Linked DNA regions of Mytilus edulis. The protein of the gene in region 2 interacts with the protein of the main gene of each other region in a pairwise test. Links are inferred from orthologs where the notes say so. Each region holds a gene or a part of one and is shown on either strand. Other genes may lie near its edges.

Region 1 (10,092 bases), on a different chromosome or scaffold from region 2:
ACAAGCTTCTGTCCAAGTTTGGTAGAAATCCAGGATAGTTTCAGAAAGTTCTTAAAATTTCAAAAACTTTAACCACAGAGTGAATATTTGTGGACGCCGCCGACGACGGAATGTAGGATCGCTTAGTCTCGCTTTTTCGACTAAAGTCGAATGCTCGACAAAAACTATAGACAAACACTTTCAAACTTGAGGATGTTTTTCAGCCACATCTCATCTCAGATCTCTCATCCTCTGATGAGACTAATCAGATGTAGCTAAGAAATTATTACCCAAAGATGGAGAATTTTGCAATATTGATGTAAATATTTATTTTGATATTTTATAAACTTTAGACATTGTCAGATTTTTTACATTTTTTTAAAATAAATTTATGCATGATTTTGACAAGAATGGAAAGGGGAATTATCAATCAAGGAGTATATTTATTATCATGATTATATGCCATTAATAATATTTTGCTTCATAATTTCCAGAAATAAACATGAGCTACATATATATCATGTACATGTATATGAGCAAACAAACAATATGATCAATTAAAACATAAATTGTATGCTGTATAACATATTGATAAAATGTAAAGTGTGTGTAGTTAGGTTGCTGTCACTTTGAAATTTACCAAAAATGTCAATTTATTCATAATTTTAAAAGTTAAAAATAAAAGATAGTTTTTAATAATGTATGCCAAAACAATATGTCTCACTAGTACTGTTACCACACTTTATAGCTGTAAATTATGGATTCTTGGCTTAATATCAAATTCTAATATGACATGCTTCGTTTAGCTTTGTTAACAAACCCATGCTAGAAATCCAATAAAATTTGTTTAGACATTATACATGTATTCTTGGTATTTTTGACATCGCTATTGCTCCGGCAAAAATAATCATGAATATAATGCCTACCCATGTTAAAACTACAATAAAATATAGCTTGCATCAATTATTTCTTAAATGTGAGAGGTTATTTTGTATGAAAATTTATATCTGTTTAATTATACATTTGTATGTTAATACTCATGTATACACACAGCACTTACCAACTAAATAAAACTGAGCAAATTTCTCAATAATTTGTATAAGAGTAAATCCACTTATCGTCAGAGGATAATGTCTTCCTCTCTTCATCAAGGCCACATACTCTTGTAGATGAATGCATTCTTTCACAAAAGTTTTATATGTAGATGTGTATCCTTCACTTTCCAGAAAACCTACAAAAAATAACATTACTTTAACATGTTTAATGCCTGTCTGGTTTTAAGCATTAGCATTCAAATGTTAATGCATACGTGGCTTTACTTGAGAAAGATTGGAATGAGAGTCATACATGTAATGACTGTGTATGGCATGATTTTTAGGAATAAAACAAAAATAATAGGTGTGTTTCTGGTTGCATGCCACCAAAAAATAGCATCAGGTCATGATTTTTTTTTTCATCTCTTCAAGTTTTATTTTTAAAATTTGTTCAAATGTTTTTGAGTTTGAAACTTTTTATTTCAGGTTTATAGTTGCCAAGAGGCCAAATTGTCACTGTACTTTCAAACCTACCCAACTCATACATTCTACAAAAAATCTACTTTAAAAACATCTAGTTACAGTAGAATAGAAATTCTAAATTATGAATGAACATGATAAATGAAGATAAGTATTACATGTATAAGCATGATAACTTAAGGTGGAATATAAAAATCAACGTAAATAAAAAAGAATATATTAAAACAGGAGTATACATTTACAGAGTGTTTACTATATATAAAGTTGTATTAATATAATTGACAAGATTTAGGGTGAACATGGTGAATAACACTTTCAACAATACAACATGCTCAAGTCTTCTTAAATCATTGAACCTTTTCCGGGAGTGTTCCTGTATCCCTTTCTGTGCTTTACTACATGTATAAGTTATCTACGTTCATATCCGTAGATATGGATATTTTAACACCCTGAAGTACCCCAGTACACCTTGAGGCGTAGCCGAAGGGTGTACAGGGTACTGAAGGGTGTTATAGCCGAAGGGTGTACAGGGTACTGAAGGGTGTTAAAATATCCATATCTATGGATATGAACGTAGATAACGAATTTATCCCCGGTCTTAGTCCGAATCGGGCGAGTTTTATGGAAATTCGGGTACAAAGTGTAACGCGAAAATAACGGTTTTTTCATTATCTAAAAAAGTTTTATTGAAATTTGGAAATTTTACATATTTTTTACGGGGTGTAGGGTACTACCTTTGGTAGAACCCTACAGGTAGTCAAATATAAGACGTTTTTAATAGAGAGACAGAGAAACTGGATTGAGTCAAATATGGCGCTCTATGTTGTGAGCGTTACGCCATACAGTACACACAGAGAGGATGTAATCTCATACTCCCAACACTGATTCTGGTGTAACACAGTGTCACACTGTGAAACACAGATTCCCCTCCCGAAAAACACCAAGTAATTTCTCCCATCTGGGAGGGTTTTATGACCTGTTGATTGCAGGTAAAAGTAATAAAAATCAACAAAGCATGACTGCATGGTCTGACAGTGACATAAAACTAAATGTCAACTATTCTCTCACTTCTTCCTATTTCAATCATTTCCTATTTAGTTTTATTTCTGAAAGCTATAAAAAAAAGGTTAATGAAATGATTTTTAAAAGTTATATCCAAAAGTATTTTTAGATTGGAAAATTATTTACATTCTTTCATAATCTCATAATTAAGAATGTCAACTTGATATTTACAATAAGTTGTATTTATACAGTTAGTTTAAACATGTAGATATTAAAATATATACATGGTTTAAAAAATAATAGTAATACTAATGAGACAAAAAAAATGAATAAAATAAAATAATGTAGATAAATTTCATACATCTTCATTTATTATTTAATTTTATAAAAAAAAATTGAATAAATTTAATTAAAATATTATGTCTTTATTTTCTATTAATTATACTCAACTTACACTACAGGTGATGTTTTGTTTGTTTTAATTATGTTTCTTAGGTATGAAAAACCAACACTGTCCAAACAAATGCTGAGTATGTTATTAATAAAAAAAAAGTTGTGCAGGATTCTTTAATAAAATCAGATTATAATATATCTCTGATTAAATTTAACAAATCTCACACTTTTCATCATTTTTGTGACTGTCATTTAATGACAGGAAACACAAGAAATGTTTATTGTAGTTATCAACTCCTTGCACACTTCAAAGGTGAACATAGCAATAAAAATCATGGTGTTGGGAGAAACCACACCAAGGTAATAAACAATTAAGGAGTTTTAGGGAGGAATTACTCCAAGTTTCTCCCAATTTCCTCCCAAGATTTGGAGAGTGTTGCTGGAGTTTCCTGGTGTGACACCAAGTTTTTACACAGTGTAGGGAGTATGCAATTACATCCTCTCTGTGTGTACTGTAGACAGGCCATTCATTAGGAGGCGGTACCCGGTACTTTTACCCTCCTATGCTATTGACAAGTACCGCCTAAATGTAGAAATTTTTATATAAGATATTCATGGAATAAATTGAAAAGTACCACCTAGAAACGTGGAAAGTACCAGTCAACATGAAAGATAATGAAACCCCTGCAGTGACTGTGTAGATAGTGTGACGTCAACGTGGGTAATTTGCATAGCTAGGTCAGTAGTCCCATTCCTTGAAAATATGGCAGTCAAGTGATGCATTTAATGAAATGAGTGTAAATGATCGGCATAATAGGACAAACTCGTTAATTAATTAAATATTTAATTACATACATCATGGATAATCTACAGACTTCAATTTTCACAAGGAGCAATCATGGAACTAAGGAAAACTTGCGTGAAGTTCCCCGGGATAATGGTTAGCAACGTCCGGGGATATGGGTTAGCAACACCCAGGGGCTATGGGTTTTGTAACGACGTGCGTTAACCAATCAAAATCCTAGATATATACTAAGCCGGGGATAAAACTTTATATACATTTGTAGAGCACAGAAAGGTTTCACCACAGAACTCCAGATAAGCTGCATATTTGCGTGATTATGCAATAAAAATAATTGAAAACCCAATGCAAATGCCCATAGCAGTGTTCTAAAACCCAATTCATGCAAAGGAAAACCCAATAATTTGTCAAAACCATGAGTTCTTAACGCTTTTATTCACTATTGTATGCGTTATTTACCCTTATCTATTACGTAGTCGTCGCATAAATCTATTTTTGTAATATTGAAATCGGATTATCGGAAATGTACTTTCGTTCTAAAAATAGAGCATTGAAAGGGTCCCTGTTGAAATGTTCCGTTGCTTAAAGGTACACGTGGTGATGAAAACATTTCGATCTTCTCTGTCTTTATCCAATAAGCGTTTGTCATGTCGTCATAATTCTTTTCGTATTGCTCGGGATTTAATATTACACTTAGCAATGAATTAAAACGAAAGTAAATTTCCAGTAAAAATATTGAATAAAAGCATGTTTTTTGCTACTTTTGGAGAGCGGAGGAATTATGATGATAAAAAGACTCAGCTAGTTTAATCAGGAAGCCTCCCTTGAACGCACGGGGTAGTGCAATGGCGTGTCCAGGGAATGTTTGCGTGTCTTAACAAGAAAAGGGTTAGAACTCGTCAGAACTCGTCAGAACTAAACCAGTTGGAACATGAAAGGCCAAAGCACTTATATGAAGTCAGCATCGGAAACCAAAAGTTCTAATAAGGGACAAGAAAACCCAGATTTATGTTAAGATTAAACAAAAACACTGTTTATTTTTAGTTCAAGAGTATATATAATATCTATTTCATTTTAGTGAACACACATATACATGTATTAGTTTTGATGTAAATGTAGCTTGCCATTTTTTTTGTTTTAGGTCTATTGTTCTGCATGCCCAAGATACATGTAGTTGTCTTTTTGGCAAGTGCAGTACAGCACTTTTAAAATGTTCACAAATAATACATAAAAATCTAAAAACTATTAGCCACACCTACAAATAAACTGAATGGTGATCATATGTACTCTAGAAAGGTAATTAGGTACTGTCCTATTAGTGTCACCAGTAAATATAAGTTATGGAAAATACAAAACTTTATGTTGAAACCAGACACAAATTAAACGTACAATTGCTCGTCAGTACATGTATATAAACCAAATAAAACAGCTATCACATAGAAAAATTTTTGAACCAAACTCGGTACATTTTGACGGACCTGAATTTCCGGATAATGTAAAACAAAGGTTCCGGAAATTCGGGTCTGTCAAATTTTACCGAGTTTGGTGTAAAACTTATTTTATAATCTCCTAAAAATAAATCAGATAATCGTTTTAAAAAATGCAGTCGACATGTTCCCGCCTTGGATGGAATTGTTACTTATATTATTATTTCTGTAGGGATTAATTATATATATATAATTGGAAATATTTTGCACAAACAAACACATAAAAGGTAAGAATTTTTATATATGCAATTTTTTTAGCCTTCAATGAAAATTTGATGTCCAAATTGGATCTCAAAGTTGAGAGCAAAATATGCTCTCAAAGTCCAACCGAAAATGGCGGCTTCAGCATTATGACGTCGAAGTAAGGTATCAAAGAAGAAAAATATAATAGCCTTTCAAGACGTCATAATTATTTGGACTAGTATAAGTTATACCATATTTATATTTGTAAACTCAAATGCAGGGCAGCCACACTTTTATGCTATTTGATGGTTACAATTTTGGCAAAATCTCAAGCATTAATTTGTTTTCAAATTTCATTAAAACTTGGCAGTCTTCATCATGCTCATGGAAATCCAATTCAATTGCTGAAAAAATAACCTTCAGGTCTGACCTACCTCATGTAAAATTCAAGGGGACATATTTTCTTGGTTGTAAATTGCTTTAATGCGTTGCATCTTTTGTAACCTGAACAAAAATTATGTAAATTTGTTAAACATGTTAAAAAAATATCACGCAACTTATCAGGCCTTGTGTTTATGCTTATTTTACGCACCTAATACTAATCTTGCTATTTCAGAAGGAAGGAAATGCGAAGTTGTTGTGTCCATTCTCAATATTGTTTCAATACAACCTAGGATAAAAGATATTTGATACGCATTTTTGATGTAAACTGTAGCTGTCACTTGTAAAAATGGCGGGCAATGTTGTTCGCCGAATTATGGCAATGTCGCAAAACTCAGAGAAATTCGTTGTTTTACCTTTCTATGAATGAATATAATAGTCTCAGTATCAGTCTGTAATAATAGCAAAATATTAAGATATTTATTATTGAAGCTATTAGAAGATCCTTCATTTAAAAAATCCAGTTAATGTCGTAAAGTAATCTTCTATAATTTGAGGTCAATATCTAGGCCGAAAGATTTTTTTCCCGTAAATGTGAACTCTAGGTTAAAAAATGTAAATGTCACTTCAAATTAAAGGGAGGCACGGATATTCTGTAGAATTTTCTCCGTATTTTCAACATAGATTTGCATGTGCCTCATCACAATATTATGGAATTGCAGGCAAGCATTTTTTTTTAAAAAGGGGGATCAAGGATTTGTACACATGTATAGTGTCACTATACAAATCCTTGGGGGGATACATGGTGTGGCTCTTCTCCACGGTGTATAAAAGCCTTAACAGGATTCTACACGTACCTATACAGATACAGATGTGGGTGGTACATCACTAAAACCGTAAAAATTCTTGGCAAATGATGATACGTTAATTTTTGCTGTATTTTAAACACTCATAAAAGCTTAAATGTTTGTATTGTTATATGTTAACCGAATCAAAAAAAAAACTTTCGTAATGGTATTCGTTAAATGTAAACTTTCTTTAAGACGATAAAATCAACTATTTTTGATGAATCACGTTAAATTTTATCCCAACGATAATCTTTTCTTAAAACTTCTGACGAAACATGATAAGGATATTTAGACAAATCACTGTAAATTTTTAACCAATTTGACGCTAACGGTAGCAGAAAATGACTGACTGTTTGACAACTGACTGACGGTTAAGGGCATTCATAGTACCCTCATAATCATGATGATATATATTAGAGACACCAGAATACAAAAATAAAGTAAAAATTGTTCAGAGGTGTGCTCACTGTGCTGCTCGTTATGTATGTCACAAAGTTACACAAACTATACTGTTTGTGGGCGTAAATATTTTACATAAGGGTACTTTATGTGTCAACAGATTGACCTTAATTGGTCAGATTCAGGTGTTTGCTGTTCAACTCACTTTCATGTACCTATTAAAACCAGTAGCATGATAAGTCTTACATCCATGATAAAATATCTTCAATGGCCCTAACATTCTGAGCACAGCAATAATATTAAGTGGATTATGTTCAATATCACTTATATTAAAGTCATCCATACTTAAGACTCATTGCAATTCTCTTGGACAGTTACAAGTCATGCAAGTGGTAATTTTTTCCAAAAACAATATAAATACAATTGAAATTGTAGTGGCCTGCAAAACAGTTGAAACCTCTACAACATAAAATAACTTACTATATTTCAATGTACATATTTTGTTGAAACTTATTTTATTAAGGAAAACCAAATTTAAAAATGTATCCTTTTTGCATTTGGCAGTAATATGATAAACAATTCTATAAATAGTCATGATAGTAGGTTCCAGAAACAAGCTGTTTACTTATTTCAACATTTTTGAAATATTTGCTTTAAATATAAAAAGGGTATCAACTGAAGCCTGTATTGCTGCAGAGGCATCTGTGTTCCCCCTTTTAGCTATCATTTTTTATTTTTCATTTTCTCCTGTCTAAATTTCAGGGAATGGTACACTCTTTATCATAGACCAGACCCCCAATGGACTGGTCCCTACTGTTGTATTTGACTGGAATGATGGACTGTTTGATGTGACCTGGGCAGAGAATAATGAAAATGTACTTGTAACTGCATCTGGTGATGGTGGAATTGTTGTGTGGGATGCTTCACAACCCAGAGTAAGTTTAGATTTGTCATCATGTACATGGCATTATTGAAACATAAAAATAGAATTCTTTAATTCATTACCAAAAGCAATTATTGATATATATCGATAGTTGTTAAATTCCCATACCTGCCAACTGTCACTATTTGTGGGGGATTTCCCCCATGGAGGCTCCCAAATTGTAATTTTGAAAGAGCTTTTTTGTCCACAATTTTAAACAAAACAATTAATTTTACAATGACATTAGGCTTATAAAAGTATTAAGAAGCCAAAAAAACAACATTAACAAATGATTAAAATGTATTTGTAGCCCCCCTTGAAGGTATTTTAGGATTATGGCAGCCATCTTGCACGCAAAACCCCCATGGGCATTTTGAAAAGTTGGCAGGTATGAATTCCTGCATGTAATGAATTTACAATGTACATTGTTCAATGTTTTAAGCTCTTTATTTCTAATTAAGGTATCCAAAGGCCAAGGGACACTATAATGGCAACACTACACAATGCCTTCTCGTTTATAACTCATTTACATACATGGCATATAAACATGTACAAATTAACCCACATGGTTGTGGTATAAAAACGTTTGAAACATGAACAAACTTAAAGGGAGAAAAACATTGATTTAGACAAATGTACGTAGTACAGTCAGGGTAACAACTGAGCACAAATGTTTGAACAACCTGCTAATTGATTTTTTTCTAGTAGTGTATTTTGCTAAATTTAATTGGTATCAATTTCTACCATACATTTTTCTATATATACTTTAATCAGATCATTATTAAACTGGATATATTAAAGATTTTTTTTCTTTACAGGGTCCTATCAAGGCATATAAAGAACATTCAAAAGAGGTACAGTTAGTTACAAAGGTTATAGATTTTAATGAAATAAGCCAACAAAAATGATCAGAAATTATGTACATAAAATTATAAAAAACAGAAATGTCAAGATATAAATAAAATCAGATCTGCTCTAATCATCATTAAAAACAAATAAAGATCATGTTGATCCCCATAAGATTTTCTACAAACATAGGAAATGATAGCAAGGGAAATTTGCAATAGTTAATTGCCACTGTACAATACATGTACAATACATGTATAATATCAGCAACTGAGCTGCCAAAGATTCAAAGATTCAAAAGTTTTATTATCCTCAGACACAACAGTGTACAAGAGGTCAATATACATACATACATAGATAGACGAAATATCTATACAGTAATTACAATACAATTATGATAAACATGTATATGTTACAGTAAATAGGTGAAATTAGGAATTACACGTAATTACTAAACATTTCAGTAAATACCTGTAATCACTAGTCAATTTAGTAATTACATGTATTTACTAGTTGTTTCAGTTATTACAGGTATTTACTGATTTTTTTTGTCATTTTTACAGCTATTTACTAACTTGATATTTTTGTTTAAAAATTAAAGACATAATTCAAGATATCAAATAAGAAAGTAAGGGGTAGGGATTTGTAGGGCTTACTTAAGGATCAAGGATTATAAGGCACATTAAAAGTGCATACTCTTCAGTATTTGTGAATTGAAACTGGAAAATGGTTGTTTTATAAGTTTTGAAACTCCCTAAAAATCATTTTGAGCATGCAAGACAATGATACCAATCCAAAATTGAGAAAAACATTTTTGAGAATTGTATAGGCAACTTAGGCAGCTATTTTTTAAGATAGACATTAGATTATGGCAAACTTGGTTAAATGATCTTGATAATTCTTAAAATCTCATAATTTTGTTATATTAAAATCTCCATCAGAATGATCAGGCATACTCTGCATATCAACTTGGCCAATAACATGAGTTAAATTCCTTTTACAACATAGGTTTAACTACGACTTCTTTTTTCAGACATTTGTGATGAAGCTGACATTCTTCACAAACAAATTTACACAAATTGATGGCGTTAAGAGTCACATTTTCATATTTCCGTGTTTTTATGAGTTCTTCAAGGCCTCCAAACTAAAGCTTATATACCTCCAACAAAATTTTATCATCGTTTCTTCCTGTATAAGAATGATCTTTTTGTGGATTGAAAAAGTCACCTAAATGGTCCATCCCTTTTGTTTTACTTTCAATGTTGACATTCTTTTCCTTTTCGTCTAGCCTGCGTTTTTTGTCGCAAAAGTGAGACATAGCCAACCAACCTAATAA
Region 2 (9,584 bases):
TTGGTGTATTTTAACTGTTGAAATCTGTTTTGATTTTAGTCAATCTAACTAAGATTAAATCTCTCGACCGAGCATAAAAAATGAGCGACTGAGAGATTTAATTTTAATTAGATTGGATTTTAGTTTCTTTGAACTGTAGATGTCTTCTGGTTGTGGTGTCTTTGACCTGTGACTGTCTGTTCCCCTTTCGTGGGAAAAATTTGGTTGATTATATAGGGGATAATTGAAGCATGACTGGCGAGGGCCCCCTCTTAGGTCAGTCAGCGGTCCCCCCCCCCCTTAGGAAAAGTTCTGGATCCGCCACTGAAAATGGTGGATGTCTGATTTTCTAATTTCAGAGGGTTTTAAACTTTGTATGTTCTGGTTTTGGTGTATTTTGACTGGAACTCTGTTTTGATTTTAGTGTCTTTGAACTGTGGATGTCTGTTCTGATTTTGGTGTTGTTGGCCTCTGGATGTCAGAATATTTTTTAGTGAGTTGACTAGTGAATTGCTTTTGGTGTATTTGACCATATTGTTGACTAAACCATTGTTCTTCTCACTTCCACAAAGTTTTAACAAAATCAAAATAGACATCCACAGGTAAGTTATAGAAATCAGAATAGTCATCCGCAGGGCAAACACATAAAATATATTGAAACAGATACTAAAATGTCAAAGACTAACAGTTAAAAGATACAAAAATCAGAACAGAAATTTACAGGTCAGAGACATCAAGAGGTCAAAGACATCTTACTGTAAATTTAGAAATTATTGCGAGGTTTTTATTATTGCAAAAAATTCAACACAATTGTAAACGCAATAATTTAAACTCGCATTTTGAAAATTTATATGAATTAAACTGGACGTTTCTCATAATCGTAAAAATAACCAGATGCTCCGCAGGGTGCAGCTTTATACGACCGCAGAGTTCGAATCCTGAACAGTTGTGGCAAATATGGACACAACATTCAAGCTTGATACAGCTCTGAATTTGGATTGTGATTGAATAGTTGACACAACATAGGTTTCTGACACAGAATGAATGTGGTCAAAGAACTTAAACTTAAAAACTTAAAAGTTTTGAATTGGACATTGGACATTTACCTATTATGGTCCAATATTCAAAATCTAAATACATGGTTAGATTCAGCATATCAACGAACCCCAAGAATTCAATTTAGATGAAATCAAGTAAAGTTAAATTTTGGACCCTTTAAACCTCAATGTGGACCAATTTGATAACCGGGCCCAAATATCAATAATCTAAATACATGTTTGTCCCTTTGGCACATTCCCCATTTCCATTCTCAATTTGATTAGATTCAGCATATATATCAAAGAACTCCATATATTCAATTTTTGTTGAAATCAAACAAAGTTTATTTTGGACCCCGATTTGGTCCAACTTGAAAACTGGGCCTATAATCAAAAACCTAAATACATGTTTAGATTCAGCATATCAAAGAACCCCTAGGATTCAATTTTTGTTGATATCAAACAAAATTTAATTTTCGACCGCGATTTGGACCAACTTGAAAACTGGCCCCATAAGCAAAAATCTTACTACATGTTTAGGGACGACATCAAAAGATCGATGTAGGATAAAAAATAGTTTGGGGGGTGGGGGGGGGGTTAAAATTCTACAAGTTTTGTATATCTAAAATCGATTTTCACATATATCCCTTTTGGTAAATCAATTTTTCCCAAATTAAGTTAAGAGGGGGGGGGGGGGGGGGGGGGGGGGTTGTGAAAAAAACTATGTGAATTAAGTTTTTTATCCTACATTGAACTTTTGATGTCGTCCCTTAGACTCAGCATATCAAAAAACCCAAGGATTCAATTTTTGTTGAAATCAAACAAAGTTTAATTTGGGATCCCGATTTGGATCAACTTGAAAACTGGGCCCATAATCAAAAATCTAAGTACATGTTTAGATTCAGCATATCAAAGAACCCCAAGAATTCAATTTTAGTTGAAATCAAACAAAATTTAATTTTGGACCCCGATTTGGACTAACTTGAAAACTGGGCCCATAATCAAAAATCTAAGTACATCTTTAGATTTAATATCAGAGAACCCCAAGAATTCAATTTTTGCTAAAATCAAACTTAGTTTAATTTTGGACCCTTTGGACTTTAATGTAGACCAATTTGAAAACGGGATCAAAAATTAAGAATCTACATACACAGTTAGATTTGGCATATCAAAGAACCCAAATCATTCAATTTTTGATGATATCAAACAAAGTTAATTTTTGGACCCTTTGGGCCCCTAATTCCTAAACAGTTGGGACCAAAACTCCCAAAATCAATCCCAAACCTTCCTTTTATGGTCATAAACCTTGTGTTTAAATTTCATAGATTTCTATTTACTTATACTAAAGTTATGGTGCGAAAACCAGAAAAATGCTTATTTGGGCCCCTTTTTGGCCCATAATTCCTAAACTGTTGGGACTTAAACTCCCAAAATCAATCCCAACCTTCCTTTTTATTTTCGAAAACTCTTGCGACAAATTCAACACTTGCCAGACAGAACTGCAAACGTAGCTTCACATCTTCTTCTTGGACGGATTACCATTGAATCAGAAATACATAAACGAATTCTGAAAACTTTTGGAAATATCATAAGAAATGAAAACTCAATTGAAAGAAAATTAGCCATCAGACAGCTAGCAACAAAATCTCTACAATCTGGTAGCTGGTTTACAAAAACTGTTGAAATTGCCAATATATATGACCTACCGTCGCCATATGATATTATAGATAACCCACCCGGGAAACAACTTTGGAAAAACCTGGTAAATAAAACAGTCGGTGATCACTGTATAAAACAAATGATAACTCGAATGAAGCAAAATCAAAATCTACTCTGGCTCGCCTAAATTACGAAAATGTCAAAGAAGAGAAAATACATAACATTTGAAAAAACTGTGGCACTAATCCATATGCCATCACATCTGCCTCCTTTAAGGCAAAGTTAGCAACAGGGACAATATACCTGTAATATCATCGAGCTAAATTTAGCAATGGACATATATGTGTCGCCTATTGGCCAGTTATGTGCAGAGGAAGAAGAAGATATAAAATTGAGAATGGAAATGGGGAATGTGCCAAAGAGACAACAACCCGACCATAGAAAAAAACAACACCAGAAAGTCACCAACAGGTCTTCAATGTAGCGAGAAATTCCCGCACTCGGAGGCGTCCTTCAACTGGCCCCTAAACAAATATATACTAGTTCAGTGATAATGAACGCCATACTAATTTCCAAATTGTATACAAGAAACAAAAATTAAAATAATACAAGACTAACAAAGGCCAGAGGCTCCTGACTTGGGACAGGCGCAAACATTCGGCGGGGTTAAACATGTTTGTGAGATCTCAACCCTCCCCCTATACCTCTAGCCAATGTAGAAAAGTAAACGCATAACAATACGCACATTAAAATTCAGTTCAAGAGAAGTCCGAGTCTGATGTCAGAAGATGTAACCAAAGAAAATAAACAAAATGACAATAATACATAAATAACAACAGACTACTAGCAGTTAACTGACATGCCAGCTCCAGACTTCAATTAAACTGACTGAAAGATTATGATTTCATCATATGAACATCAGGCACAATCCTTCCCGTTAGGGGTTTAGGGAGCTACCATTTGATTTTTATGGGGGGCTAGGATGAAAAATTTTGTCCTGCATTTTTTTTTAGTTGTAATGTCTGTCCTGCCTTTTTATTTTTCACTCTATTCGGTCCTGCCTTTTTTTATTAGTTTATCCTGACTTTTTTTTACCTAAATTGTCATCCTGTCTTTTTTTTTGCAAAGTGTCTCATCCTGCCTTTTTTTTTTTTACTCAAAACTCCTGTCCTGCCTATTTTTTTCAAATTTCATCCTAGCCCCCCCATAAAAATCAAATGGTAGCTCCCTTAGTATCATACCATCATAACATATATGAGAAGAACATAACCCGTGTCATACTTCACTTCATATTAAAGTGCTCTAAGCTACAGTATATTAGAGATGATTTTCTACATATGATAGGCGAGGTATTGACAGAAAACCTAGAGGATCAGGATCTTATCCAAGAATTAATAACCAATGACGAACATTTGTGTCAGCTAGTTATTGACTGCTCAAAATTTAGATTTTTAAAATTAATGAGAATGCACAGATTAGAATAGAAACATTATCGAGAGGTCTGTGTCATCAACTATTCCAGCAACGGGCAATATTAATTGAACAGTGATTAAAAGCATGAAATACCGAACTGAAAAGAAGGGACATACCAAAAGATAGAACATTTAAGATAAAATAAGATAAGAAATTGTATTTCAAGTCGGGTTACATTAAATACAAACATAAGCTCTGTAGAGCTTTTTGCCGACATTAATAACAATAACAACACACATATTAAGATACATAAAACACACATATGAGACATACAAATTATGATAGCTATATTGCAAGTAAAAAGTTCATAAATAAAAAGCATAGCACATGCAAGCAAAACACTAAAACTGAAACATAAGCACATGCAAAGCAGAATGAAATAAATAAAGCAAACTAATTTCTATAAGCTACATGGAACAAACATTTAACACAAATAAAATAAAGGTATTAAGATCTGCAGGAGCCACACCTGCATGAGTTGCCATTCCAGTTGTTGATCATACTTTTAAACTGGTTTAGGTTTGTCTGTGCACGGATCGTGTCAGGCAACTCATTCCATAGTGTAGCTCCAGCATATCTTAATGAATGAAGGCCAAAATGTGTGGTTCTCACCTGTGGAATTTCAACAGTTTGTTGTTTTCTAAAAGTATAAGATACATTTTTAAAATTAATGATATCATGGAGATACACCGGTGATTCTTTATGTAATATTTTAAAAGTTTCTATTGCCATCATTCTTATGCGTCTTATTTTTAAAGAAGGTAAACCAGATTTTAACAACAGAGTTTCATAATCACTATCAAAATCTTCATATATGAACCTCAAGGCACGTTCTTGTATTTTTTTCATCTTTTTAGTATTACCCTCCCCACAAAAATGCCAAACCACAGGACAATAATTGAAATTAGACATAATATATGAATGATAAATAGTTAACCTTCCCAATTTAGATAGATGTTTTCCAATTCTTTTAAGAACATTTAACTGTCTTGATGCTTTTTTACAAATATCAGAGATATGAGTTTTAAACTTGAGTTGATAATCTATTGTCACCCCCAGGAGCTTTACCTCAGTGTCACATAAAATTTCATTTCCATCCAAATTGAATTTAATATTCCCACTTTTTGATTTATTCCCAACAGCAATAGCCTGAAATTTATCTGGATTAGCTTTCATTTTGTTATTAGCAAACCAATCAATTAAAACAGCACTTTCCTTTTCTAAAGATTTAACTAATCCATTTAGGTCTGGTCCTGAGTGTGACAATGTATTATCGTCTGCATAATTATACAGTTCATTTTCTTTCACAAAATTGAAAATGTCGTTTAGAAAAATATTAAAAAGCACAGGACCCAAAATCGAGCCCTGCGGTACACCTTTATAGATATTTTGCCAGGTACTAAAATATGCACCGACTTTTACACACTGTTTCCTATTTGATAAATAATTATCAATTAAATTAAGTGCCTCATTTGACAGGCCATATGCCTTCAATTTTAAAAGAAGTAAATTATGGGGTAAGCAGTCAAAGGCCTTAGAAAGGTCCATTAGCACAGCAGCCACATATAAATTTTGATCGACTGCTTTTTTCCAGTCCTCAATGACTTTTAGTAAGGCGGTGTTACAGCCATAGCCAGGTCTAAAAGCTGACAAGGAAGGATGAAATATTTTACTAAAATATTCTATTAGCTGTTGATATATGGCCCTTTCAAAGAATTTTGTTGTATAAAGTGTATTTACATTTTACCGTTTTTAATATGAAAGAAGCAACTTTTATATTTGAATGATGGATGACTTTTAACGCATACCAGAATAGTGTAAATATTGGTGATAGGGTCACATCCCCCAGAGGAGATAATTAATATCTCTTTGATAGTTTTAAAGGTTTTATCTTTTAAACATAATCTTGAGGATTTTAACCGTGAGTGATCATTACACCGATTCTAGGATTGGTGGTTCTCCTGACATAGGAGGGAGTTGCAGTACAGGTAAACAGGTAAACAGGTAAACAAATCAGGAAACAGACACGTATTGCTTTCGTTTTACAAACGTGCCAGTTGTTGACCTTGCACTGTTTATGTTCGAAGTCCAAAAAGAAAAATGGCAGCCCGACTGAAAACGCTTTTTGGTCACATTCAGGAACATAAGACCCCAACTGATGTCTCAACAGTCTTAACACATGCTAGTCCATACACCGGAATTTTTAAGTATACTCTGAATTCGCCAAGGTTGACAGAAAAACAGAGACAGTTTTATGAAGATAATGGGTATTTGGTCATTAAAAAACTTGTTCCTGAGTACAGCCTGCAGAAGTACAGAGAAAGATTTGAACAGATATGTAAAAAGGAAGTTGAAGTACCTGGTTTGACTATTATGAGAGACGTTGCCATTTCAAAAGATGAGTTTGTACCAGGACAAAAGGCAGTAACAAAAATCCAGAACTTTCAGTTAGATGAGGAGTTATTTGAGTATTGTAAATTGCCAGAGGTATTGGACTATGTGGAAGCTATTGTTGGAAGCAATATCAAGGCCATCCATACTATGCTGATTAACAAGCCGCCAGATCCAGGTAGGAAAACCTCCAGACATCCAATGCACCAGGATCTTCATTACTTCCCAATGAAACCAGCGGAGAAGATCGTCTGTTCCTGGACTGCAATGCAAAAAGTTAATCGTGAAAATGGTTGCTTAGTTGTGCTTCCTGGTACTCACAAGGGTACACTACTTCAGCATGATTATCCTGAATGGGAGGGTGGTGTAAATAAGATGTACCATGGTGTGAGAGATTATGATCCCAGCATGCCCCGTTCACATCTTGAGATGGAGGCTGGCGACACAGTTTTCTTCCATCCTCTATTAATACATGGATCAGGAATGAACAGGACAAAAGACTTTAGAAAGTCCATTTCATGCCACTATGCCAGCAGTGATATCGAATTTGCAGAACAAGATTCCCAGAGTGCAATATCTGAGGAAATACTTGATTTGATAGTTAAACAGTACAAGGTTCCCAGGGACAGCGTTAAATATGAGGACCTATGGAAAATCAAAAGCCGTACTGTTAAAGGACATTCCGATTGGTAATGTAACAGTTACATTTTCAAAAGTGTTAGTCTAAATTATTCTTGTGATGCATGTAGGTGTGACTTTAATTTTAGTTAACATATTTATTATTTGGACATCATATATTTATGATTTAGTTCTGATATACATGTACAAAAACTGTACACATATATATTCAAAATGACATTTGATTGACTGAAATAAAATAAATGACTTGAATTATATGCTAAATTGCTAGCTTGACTTTGATTCAAATATGTACAAAAAACAAAAAAATGATGTAGAGATTTTGTACATACATTGCATTTGTATGTAAATTTATTAATTTTTTCGTTGAAAATTTTAATTTATATTTGATCATTTGTATTACTATTTTTTATTATGTGATTATCATAATTATTTTGAAATGTTTTTAGTGTAAATGATAATAATATTGAAATTTATTTATTCTGCATATTCTATGGTTCAATGAAGAAAAGTATAGTTTTTGTATTGATTGTTGAGCTTATAATATATAACAGTGTTTCAAAACCTTTTTGTTTGAACTAACATAAAATGCATGTTATGTAGCTTACTAATTTTGCGATTTTAATTTTCACTTAGAAATTTGATATTTGCAAACAAAGAATTTTTCTGTGGCGGCATCACCAGTTTGATATTTTTTATAAGTATTATAAAGAAGATTCAAAGGTAAAAAAAACCCGTATATTTTCAAGATGTAACCAATATCCCCCTCTTTTTAAAAGCATACAATACTATAGGTTTTATCATACAAATAAAGTGACTAAACAAACAAATCTTAATAGTATACATATGTTATATAAATAACAAATAACTCATGATTTTATAATAACAAATAGATTTATCAGTTATCATGTACATGTACATTGTATTATCAATAAATACATGTGTACAGGTACATTTTACTAAATTATTAACTGATACATTTTTCCTATAAAGTATGAATATAAAATGTGCAGTATCATCATGATTATAGGTAATTAAGGACGACCAGACTTAATTTTTATCTTTAATTTAAGCAGTATTGCTAAAATTCAACCTAAATATTTATAAATTTGACACATTGTATATTTGATTTACTATAGCCTGATGATTGACAAATGATTGAAATAATATGTTCCAATAGATTGCGATTCTTACATAATTTATTAAAAATTATTACTTTTGTTTGATTTCTATTTATTTCCATTCACCAATTTTGACAATGTTTGTATAAGGTGTCAAGCTGCTGTTGGAGACCTAGTCTTGAAACTGATGATAGAAATGAATCATAAGTAAAGAGCAGACATAGAATTTTTGTGTCATTGTCCAACATCTGTCTGTCCTTTCTTGTGTTTTAAGCGCTCTAACATGTAAAATGCAAGATATTTATGAAATTTAAATCAAAGGTTTAATTACATCAGCAATGTCTTGGACAAGTTCTGAAAATCAGTTCCAAGTAAACATTTTTAAATGAGATATGCCCATTGGAAATATTTAAATTATATGGAAAATTTAATTGTAATCGCTCTAAAGTCTACCTTTCTTGTAGGACCGAATGAATATACCAGTATATCAAAATTTTATGTCAGCAATATGTCTAAAATTTTGTATCTAAAGCACTCACTTGTATACAAGTCTGACCAGATTGTTTAGAAAATGCATATCAAAGGTTTACATGTATATCACCAATGATAGACAAAGTTGGAAAATCAAAGACAATGGCCACCAACTTGAACAATCAAATGGAAGATGGCACATAATTTGGATAGCATGGTCAATACATGACTGCAGAGAAGATTGTCTATTCCTGGACTGCCAGTGGCGAATCCAGAAATTTTCATAAGTGGGGGCCCACTGACTGACCTAAGAGGGGGCCCGCTCGAGTCACACTTCAGTGATTCCCTATATAAGCAACCAATTTTTTTTCCAAAAAGGGGGGGGGGGGCCAGGCCCCCTGCCCCCCCTAAATCCGCCTCTGACTGCAATGCAAAAAGTTAATCACGTTGCTTAGTTGTGCTCCCGGGTACTCACAGAAATCAACAGGTGTTGGTTAAATGATGCCTCTGAAGAAACTAGAAACAGCACTAACATCTTTAACAGGTTGCATGAAGTGTCATCATAACTTTTAATTGAAATCTACAGTCAACTAATTTTGAATTGTCTGAGAGGGAAAACTGACCTTCCATAATTTGGCTGCTCTGTTTTTACCCTGTTTTGTTTTCAATGATCTTAAATGTTCACCTATATGGTTCTTGTTAGTTTAAGACTTCTGAATACCTGCCAAAAAATATCATTGATCATACTTCTATCAAAGAGATTTGAAATCCTTTAAAATCAGACACTTAAATCAGAACAGACTGAAAGACCAAA

What was found.
Region 1: the proteins of phytanoyl-CoA dioxygenase, peroxisomal-like (region 2) and peroxisomal targeting signal 2 receptor-like interact in a two-hybrid assay, tested with the Homo sapiens proteins (2 studies listed by BioGRID, with this or other methods). The link is inferred for Mytilus edulis from reciprocal best matches to the Homo sapiens genes PHYH and PEX7.

What each region holds. Positions count from the first base shown.
Region 1 is NC_092353.1:34,377,428-34,387,519, forward strand, and holds the start of peroxisomal targeting signal 2 receptor-like, read left to right. Parts: upstream 1-6,287; 5' UTR 6,288-6,360; coding exon 6,361-6,463; intron 6,464-7,750; coding exon 7,751-7,923; intron 7,924-8,728; coding exon 8,729-8,764; intron 8,765-10,092. Other genes in the region: serine-rich adhesin for platelets-like, read right to left, coding at 1,040-1,210, 5,953-6,007. UniProt on the Homo sapiens protein: Receptor required for the peroxisomal import of proteins containing a C-terminal PTS2-type peroxisomal targeting signal. Specifically binds to cargo proteins containing a PTS2 peroxisomal targeting signal in the cytosol.
Region 2 is NC_092346.1:5,364,288-5,373,871, forward strand, and holds phytanoyl-CoA dioxygenase, peroxisomal-like, read left to right. Parts: upstream 1-6,179; 5' UTR 6,180-6,248; coding exon 6,249-7,232; 3' UTR 7,233-8,397; downstream 8,398-9,584. UniProt on the Homo sapiens protein: Catalyzes the 2-hydroxylation of not only racemic phytanoyl-CoA and the isomers of 3-methylhexadecanoyl-CoA, but also a variety of other mono-branched 3-methylacyl-CoA esters (with a chain length of at least seven carbon atoms) and straight-chain acyl-CoA esters (with a chain length longer than four carbon atoms).